Linked DNA regions of Drosophila melanogaster. The protein of the gene in region 2 purifies or fractionates together with the protein of the main gene of each other region. This does not show direct contact. Each region holds a gene or a part of one and is shown on either strand. Other genes may lie near its edges.

Region 1 (4,306 bases), on a different chromosome or scaffold from region 2:
GAATGGATATACATATGTATGTATGGATTTATTCCTAATCACATGCACACGATACTCCGGATCAGCAGATCGACCAGTGATCGTCGAGATCCGTGAAATTGGATTTGTTTCTACTTTCCGTCCTTACGAAGTGGCTGCACTGAAATCGAAACTGTTTGTTTATCTTAGCAATTAGTTAGCCATAAATGTGCGAGTAAGCGAATAGAAGGGATAAAGCATAAATAATTAAAACTGTTCGCATTAGCAGATGGCAATAAAATAACTCGGTTTCTGGTCCATTCGATCGAATTCAATATTGTTGTTTAGTTTCCGAAAATATTGGTTTTGTAATTGACTTGACTTTGTTCAATTCAACTCAAGTTCCCCGAGCCCCACCATCTTGTCTTCGCCCTCCAGTTTTCTTCTCGTTTTTCCATTTTGGTTCGCCAGCCCGAGTTGAACGAACCTCTTTCAATATCTTTCAGAAAAAGAACCCAACTTTGCTTTGCTCGAAAATCAATATTATTGTTTAAATATTATTCTACGTATACGACACAGCGAGCAATAAATATTTACTAGATGTGCTCATGTTGCAAATTGTATTGGTTTTTTGGGGTTGAGTATGCAAAATCAGCAGGGAAATGGAGCAGAAATTGTTTTCGAGATTAGGAATTGAATAGGCGTAGAAAAAAATGATATTCTAGGAAACTAAATCTTAAACAAAGACGAAAAGCCTTCCTGTTTTGTTAGATTATGGTTCCAACTTTGTATATTATCAAGAACTGGTAAAAAAAACATACACGCGAATTCTTTAGTGGAATTCTTCCAACAATTTAAAAAATGATTTATTTATTGGATCGAAAGATTTTATGTTTAAAATTAAGAAGCTTTAGGAAATACTTCAAATATTAATTATAATGTATACATATAATTGTAAAGCTTTGAAAATGTAGTGATCACATAAAAAATGGGCCATATTTAACAACTTCAAACGGACAAGGTCACTTGACTCCAAACAGTTTTGTTGAGCACTTCAAAGGCCTGAATTTGTTCATTCAATTGGGCCAGTTTACTGAATATCAAATCGAACTTGGAATCAAAGTGCTGCACCACTGCTTTCAGTTCATCGCGCAGTTTGTCCACCTCGCTGGGATCAGAACTACTTGTTATGGGCGAGGACTCTACGCTGGCGGAGATTTCCGAAGAGGAGGAGGAGTCCACACCCTCTTTTTCGGGCAAGCGATACATGCAGGCTATTCCGTGAAAGTATTCCCCCGGAAAATCGGGATCGTAGTTATCCACGGTATAGGCAATGCCATTGGCACGAATGAGCACATCCATTATGTTTCTCAGGCTGAAGCAGTTCCAGTTATTTCCATGAATATAGAAGTGCGTTAGTTGCGTGAGCGTGGGGAACGCGGATGGATCGATTTCCGTCAAATTATTGCCGGATATGTCAAGTTTCTGCAAATTTTGCATACCCTGCAACGCCTCCAGCGGCAGTTCCATCTGGCCCGTATTCCGCAGCACCAGCATCTCCAGATGTGGCGTCCGCCAACCGTCGGGCAACTGACCCAGGTTCGGATTGTCCGCCACATCCAGGTGCCGGAGTCTGGGCACGCGGCTCAACGACGCCAGCTGAACCAGCGAGTTGTTGCGCAGCACCAAATGCTCCAGTGCCTCGGAGGCGGGAAAGTACAGCTCGCGCACGCGATTGTCGCTCAGATCGACATTCGTCACCGATCCGTACAAATTGACACGGTCCAGCGAGCAATTGCGAGCGGTCAAATTGGTGGCGTTAATGTTCAGCAGTAGAACGACCAGCTCGGGGTTATTCGATAGATCCACATACTGCATCTGATGGTGTCGTCCGCGGGATCGAAAGGCATACTCGCCCACCTCTCGCAGTCGATTGTTCTGCATTGCGACCGACAAAAGGTCCGGATTGTGGGCAAATAAATCGCTCTCAATGGTGGTCAGTTGATTACCGGCCAGTCCCACGTGCCGCAGACTCTTCAGTCCGGCAAATACGTCCGCGGCTAAAGCCTCCAGGCGATTCTCTGTGAGATCCAGGTACTGTAATTTCAGGAGATTATCAAACGCACCCGCCTGCAGTTTGCCTAGTTTGTTGCGATTCAGGAAGATAAACTCCAAGTTTCCTGCTCCCCTGAAGGTTTTCGTGGGCAGCACTTCGATGTGATTATCGCTGAGCAGAAGAATCACCAGCTTATCCGCACCAATGGAGAAGTTCTCCCAGTAAATGAAGCGGATGCCACAGCCGCGCATGTCCAGCTCACTGACCTCTAGTGTGTAAAATAAGCGCAGGGGAAAATTGGTGAAGGTGCAGTTCTCGAAGATCAGGGTTCGCGAGTGCTCCTCATCGCCCACTTCGTAGGTGGTGCCATCCTCGGCAATCCGCACCTCCGTTGGCAGATCAAAGGTGGCCTTCTCGTCCTCTCCCGCAAACTCAAAGCCCCTGCAGCTGGTCACCTTGCCCTCCGTCTGGCAATGACCTTCCAAGCTGGAGACCAGCACTATTCGGGATGAGCCACTATCCACATCAGCATCCGCGTCCTCATCCGTAGTAGCTGTGGCCGCCAATGAGATCAGCAAATAGCTGCAGAGGAACGGCAGACAATTCCGGACGTACATTTGGCGTGCTCCACGATTCACGTTCGACCTGAAACTGATTCCAAACGTTGACCGCCAAACGCCTGGCCAGATAAGCTCCTCTATAATGCTCAAATAACGATCATCAGTTCTATATAATTGCCATCCCATTCTATTCATGGTGTTCTGATTTTGCGAAAATAAATATGGTTCATCTGTGGCGGGTACAGCGCATTTCGAAAATGTAAGGCAGGGTTTTTTTCTTTTTTTTGAAATCGGATTGAAATACTATTTCTATTTCGAAGAATTGAGATGCTTTGGAAATCACTGCTGACTAATTAATAGATTTAATTACAATTATTTGTCTGGGAACTCCTTTTAAAAGAAATTAACATCTTTTGCTGTACGAGAGAGATGAAAATCGGTTTGTTTTTTTTTGTACCTATCATTATTTTGACACTTGTCTGTGCTGCTTTTCCGTTTATTATTCATGATTTTTTGCTGCTCTATGGAAGTTCTCGCTCTGTTGGCTCCATTCAAAACTCACAGACTTTGAAAAAAAAAACAAAACTTTGTACAATATCTGTGGAGCAATTCCCACTCATTTCCAGTGTGTTCTCTTATCATGAAGTGTTTACTTAGCGATTTGCTGAACAAAAGGTGGAAATCTCTTTTGGCTGCTGATAGTGGACATGAGGCCAGACATTCGCCCATTTTTATGTAAGAGTATTTTCATTGGGGCCCATCCATCTTTGGCTTTTACCATCGAAAATATAGGCGCGTGGAAACGTTGCTTAAAATACCTTCTATATAATTTACACAACAGCCATTTAGCATTTTGTTGGCACTGCCTTGCGTTGTGTAGTTTTGCTGATGATTGCCCGAATGACTCATTATTTATCAGGCGAACAATTCAGTGGAGGGCATTTGAGTTTCGGTTTGATAAGAGCAAACGAACTTCCGTTAACTACTTTGTCGTCTGCATTTATTCCTAGTCTTATTTTTAAAGCAATCAGGCAAGAATGTAGGCACCTTTACACGAAAAACATTCGTAAATATAGCGAAACCAGAACTTTCGCCTGCGAAGCGGTGACATGTCCAGTGGAAAAATGTGTAAAATATTTAGCCAATTATTTAGCCAACATGCCAGCGGTTTTGAGAACACGTTCAACCTGCTTTCTCAGTCGTTCAATTTGCCAGTTGCAGCTTAGCGGGCGAAAACAAAAAGATTATGACAGGTAGAGCCTTATTAATTTGTATGCAAACAAATTTATACGCTTGTTGAAATGTTAAAAATTAATTTTCCATTCGTTTGCGTTGGGATTTTCTCGGCTTTGGCCGCCTGGGCAAACAAACAATTTGAATATCGATGGCTAATTTTTTTCACTTTATGTATTCACAATTGATCTGCCTGTTTGCATTGGGCTTATTATGAGCCAATGGCTTTTAAATTACTCGACTCAAGACGACTTTTGTTCTTTGCATGGCATTTGCCATAGCTGTATCTGTATCTATTGTAGCTGTGTATTGTATCTCAATTGAAACGGCATGACTTCGTTTAGCGTCTTTTTTTCACTTTTTCGCCTGTGCCCCCTTTGTTGAATTCAATTTGCCGCAATTACTTTGCATACAAGTTTCGAGAAATAAAAAAAAAAAAACAAAGAGTGAAAATTACCAGGCTTTTATTCTGTCGAGACTTTGTCCCCGCCGTCTGTAC
Region 2 (5,081 bases):
GCACACTCCGCATTCTATAGCTCTCTATGGCACTGAGGATTTCCTGTTTATGCCCACACAGTAAAAAAAAATATATATATATATTTCAATACAATTTAGCAAGCATATACAAGCCATAATAATTGCCACTTCTTTTTAACTGATTTTTGCCCAACTTAAGCATCGCTAATATTCATTTTCAAGTAATGTTTTATATAAGCTTAACTTTTGTTTTAGCAACATAAGTTAGACATAAGTTATATAGATAGAAATCTTGCTGAAATCAATCTAGTTTTCGCTATGTGCACATTTTCGTGGCGTATCCAATAAAATGTGCGAAAAAGTTGATGCGCGGCTCGCGATTGCCATTTATTTTTATTGCCGCACTTACCTGCTACTTAGCGCCTGCCGCCTTCTTTTCGAGAGCACGTGGGCGTGCCCGCTCACTACGCGCGACACAGAAAACTTTTGAGTTTGAGTTTGAGTTTTGACTTTTGCTGGGTGCGTGGTGCCTGCTTTATGTATAAATATATATATGTACAATATATATATATATATATATTTACTCTAAGTGTGTGTGCGTGTGCGACTGGCACTTTAATCAGCAATGCCAGCTGCTTCTTTTGCCGATTTTCCAGCTTTTCCTGCGAGTGAAAAGTGGGCAGGTGTTGCTGCCGCTGCTTGGCCAGAAACCAGGAAAAAGGAAAATGTGAATGCGAATGCGAAAGGAAATTCGCACATAACACTTCCCAAAGGCCATAAAGTCGCGCATATTTATAAGCCTCGCCTGTCTCTCTCGATTTCCATCTAGGCGCTGCTTTATGCCACCTTTTTTATGACCCAGTCAGTAAATACACGCATACGTATATACGTATGTATATATATCATCCCAACTCACATGGATTGTATTGAGCCCCACCAAGCCATTTGCACTTCATGCGAAAAGCCCACTTCAATTGACATCTTGCAACCTTCGAATAGCCAAAAAGATCTTTTTCGGATCCGTCAGCTGCGTCACATTTGTTTCGCATTTGCCGTTTTATTGCGCAAAATTGAACGCGTACTTTATTGCCGACTGGATTTTTTTTCTTTTTGCATAAACACAATTTATGCATATACAATATACATGACTTGGAATACAAAATAAATTAAAAAAAAAAATGAAAAAAAACCGGGCCCAAAAAGACGTGACACAAAAAAAAAAAAAAAAGCAAAGGGAAATGTAGGGAGCAAAAGTTTTTAATTTGCTTAGACGCGACCAAAAGTCTGCTGCATAACAGCTTTACTCCTGGGAAAATCGAGCTATGTAGCTTTGGCCATAGCCTTCGCAGCTTTAACCAGATTAAATTATCGCATTTTTCTTTGTACACATCTATAAACATATATATTTTTATTTTGGCCCGCTGCTGTTGCTCCTGCCTCGCTGATTCGATTTTTGCTACCCAAAATGAAGAAAAGCAGCAAAAAAAAATATATATATATATATATATATAATATGTGTAGGCATAAAAAAATGAAAGCAAATCCGTAGGCAGGCGTGAAAAGTTCGAATAAATTGAGTAAAAGTTCGCAATTCGCCTTAAACATTTTTGCCTTCTTCGCTGGCGACGGCAACATGAAATTTTCTGCTCGCAGGTGTGGACTTTTTTTCGTCCTTTTCTTTTCAGGATCTGAAAATTTCTTGATACAAGTTTGCCACATTGGCAGCCCAAAAAAAAAAATATATGTAATATATGGAAGCATATTTATTAGTACAAGTTGGAGATCGCAGATCAAACTTTTTGCCACTTCTGGCGTTTTCTTTAAATTTTTCATTTTTCTTGCACTTCTGAGGACTTGAGAAGTTTTCGAACTTTGTAGCCCAATATATAGGCATATTTATGGTCCAAGAATTACGTACAAATAAGGCACATTCTCCAGAAATTAAAATTAAAGGTGAAGAGATTTTATATGTTAAAACACTTAAATAAAAATTTCTTTATAAGACTACGATGTTCTGTTTTGCCAGCGGCTTTTCAACACATGAAAGTTGTATAGTTAACAGTAATATTCTTCTAATACTCTGCTTCCGCTTCTTCAGCCAGCGGACTTTAAAAATTACGAAATTAGTTAAGTTAGGATTTTTAGTAAGTTTTTAGTTGTAATTGTAGTAAATTTCTTTTTGCCACATTTTTGGCGCTTTTTTGAGTGAATTTCCGTTTCAATTGGGCAGCAACAGCCTCGGGACTTTAAAAGGCTCATCCGCACACACAAACACGACAATACCAACGCACACCACCCGCACACGCACACACACACACACATCAGCAGTGCACACACACACAGGACACTTACGGCTTGAGTTATTGGGGCAGGCCCAAAAGTATGCTAAGCTTTTCGCTTTCGCTCTGCAGCTGCTGCCAACTGCAAACTGCAATCAACTGGATTTCACTTTTTCGCCAGCCGTCGTCTCACTTTTCATTGTTTACGTTTCACTTGTACGTCTCTCGCCTTCTTTGTTTTCGTGTTTTTCTTGTCAATTGAGGAAAACCCCAAAAAGAGAAACAACAACAATGCAATATAGATGGCACACTCTCACACACTCAACCGAAAAAAACAACAAACAACAGATGCAATTGGCGGCGGCACGCGTTTCCCGACGCGACGCGACGCGTTTTGAATTTCCCGGGGGTTAACGGGGGTTAATGTATTGGGCGGCGCGGTGAGGGGACAACGTTCCGTGTGGGGCGGGCGGGGGCGTGGGACGTGGGACGTTAGGCGGTTTAGGACGGGCCAGCCACAATTGCAATTTGATGATCGCGATCGCGACCGTTTCACCGCCTTTCCTGCAGCGTTTGAATTTCCCGAGATAAACAGTTTCGATGTCGGATGGAATTCAGTTGTCGAGGATTCGCTTTCGCATTCGAGTTCGAGTTGTGTGGCAAGACGATCCGAAACGAGACGAAACGAATCGAATCGAGAGTCGAGTCAAATGCAGTGAATATATCCGCCTTTAATCGCGCGGCACAAACCGTTGTGTTCGATAACCTAAACGAAACTGAACCGCCGAGCACTCGCGGCTCGAAACTCGGCCAAAGCTTCGTGTCGCCTCGTGTCGCGTCGTCAGTGTCTCGGCCCACGAGTTCCACACACACACACACACACGCGCGCGCGCCCACCTTTGGCAAAGCGCACACGAAGGATGCGTGTGGGTGAGGCCGTGTGTCCGCTGCTCCACTTCCGATTCCCGCTCCGCTTAACTGAAATCCACTTCGTGCGGCGCTTTTGGGCGATGCGCAGGCGCCATAGTGGCACTTGTGGAACGCGAGTGTGGACTGCATTCGCATGGGAGATGAGCAAAGGTTCGATAAATGCCGGGCCAGGGGTCGCCAGGGGTTAAACCACCCCAAAATAAATAAACACGTGTAATGTGGTTTTGCACTCGAAATTAACAAAAAAAAAAAAAAAATTGAAGGGGGGTTCTTTGAAAACAAGCACACCCACTTTATCAATGAAAAATACATATGCATATATGTATATGTAAATACTTACATATGTATGTATGTATGAAATATATATGCACCGCTCTGTTTGAATATTATTTGGATACAATGAACACAGCTACACTAATTCTTATTCATCATTCGCGTATTATCTTCCGTTATCCAAAGTAATTCATTCACAAACAGTTAGTTTTGCATGTTTCCTTCGATTTGCCCACTGATTCTTGCTGTCAACGAAAGCGATTTGAGACACATTTTTTACTTTGATCTCTCTCTTCTTTCAATTGCATCTCATTTCTTATTCTACAATACATACATACGGTTTCGGTGTGCTTTGTATGTTTGTACATACATATGGATGTGGTACTCATTTATTGAATATTTACTTAAATATAAAGATAAATAATCTATTATGGGTAAGTATTTAATAAATGAAAACAATTTTTCCTATTTCTTTTATATAATTTTAGATTTACAAATTGATAGGTTCGCCCACTTGTTATCGAAGGGGCGGGGCATCGCTGGCGGTGTCCGGTGTGGACTCTATTGGGCTACCTCAGCTCGTGTGGCGCCTCCGAGCGACAGTCGTGGCCGATAGGGCAGGCAGCGTTGCAATTGCAGCGGGCGGCACGAAGAGTCCTGCGTGTTGTCGGCAGACGCACGATGTGGCACAGACACAGGACGCAGGACACACGAGACGGACTGCTGACTGCTAACTGCTGCTCATGTTGCATGTTGCACGCTGCAAGTCCGCCTGCCGCTCCTACTGCCGCTCCTTACTGCTGGTTTTGATGGTGATGGTGATGCTGATGCCAGCGGACAAGTTCAAGGGAATTCCGCTCGCGCGACAAATAAATTACATACACACGCACCGCCAGCGAGTGCATGCAAATTAAGATGGCAGCCGCAGATCCTGCTTCCTGCACTCACACCCTCAACTTCAGCTTCAACTTCGCCATCTCGAGATACTCGAGTCATTTGAACTCGGCCAGTGTGTCACCCCGCCTGCGGATCCAATTGTGCCACCATTAACTTCCTTCCGCCGAGGGAAAAAGCGAATGAGCAATGATTATTACATATCAGCTGCATTTTCACAATATATGTACATGCATACAATATTCACGAATTTCTGAACTGCAGCTAAAAGTCCAGTCGTTTCTGATTCGATTATTAGCTCATTAAAATAAAATTATAATGACTGAATGGCTAAACAACCTAATTAACATTAAATTTGTTTCGAAATTATTGATTACGTATTCTATGCATGTATTACAGAAACATTCAATAGCGCAATTTTCAAAATTATTATTTCTGTATTGTGTATTTCTTGATTGAATTACTATCATAGAAGTCCTTCCTTCTAAGTCATTTTTCATTTAATTAAAATTTAAAGTGTATTCAATATATATTTTTCACACATTTCCTCGATTGATTACATATTCATGGCGTAGTTGTTTTTTTTTCCGGTGCATTCTGCTTTCAGGTTGTTTTCCCTGCGCGTTGCACTTTGCTGACTTTGCTTTACTTTTGCTCTGACTTGCCACTCGGATTCGAATTTCTTGGCTGGTGCGGCGGGGAAATCTCTTATGGCTGCTCACTTGAACGGTTTTCGCCGTTGTT

Evidence for each region.
Region 1: the proteins of dpr8 (region 2) and cDIP purify together in Drosophila melanogaster (affinity purification with western blotting; 2 studies listed by BioGRID). This does not show direct contact.

Annotation. Positions count from the first base shown.
Region 1 is NT_033777.3:21,158,424-21,162,729, forward strand, and holds cDIP (common Dpr-interacting protein), read right to left. Parts: upstream 2,670-4,306; 5' UTR 2,632-2,669; coding exon 967-2,631; 3' UTR 815-966; downstream 1-814.
Region 2 is NC_004354.4:14,320,148-14,325,228, reverse strand, and holds the start of dpr8 (defective proboscis extension response 8), read right to left. Parts: upstream 3,004-5,081; 5' UTR 2,314-3,003; intron 492-2,313; 5' UTR 371-491; intron 1-370.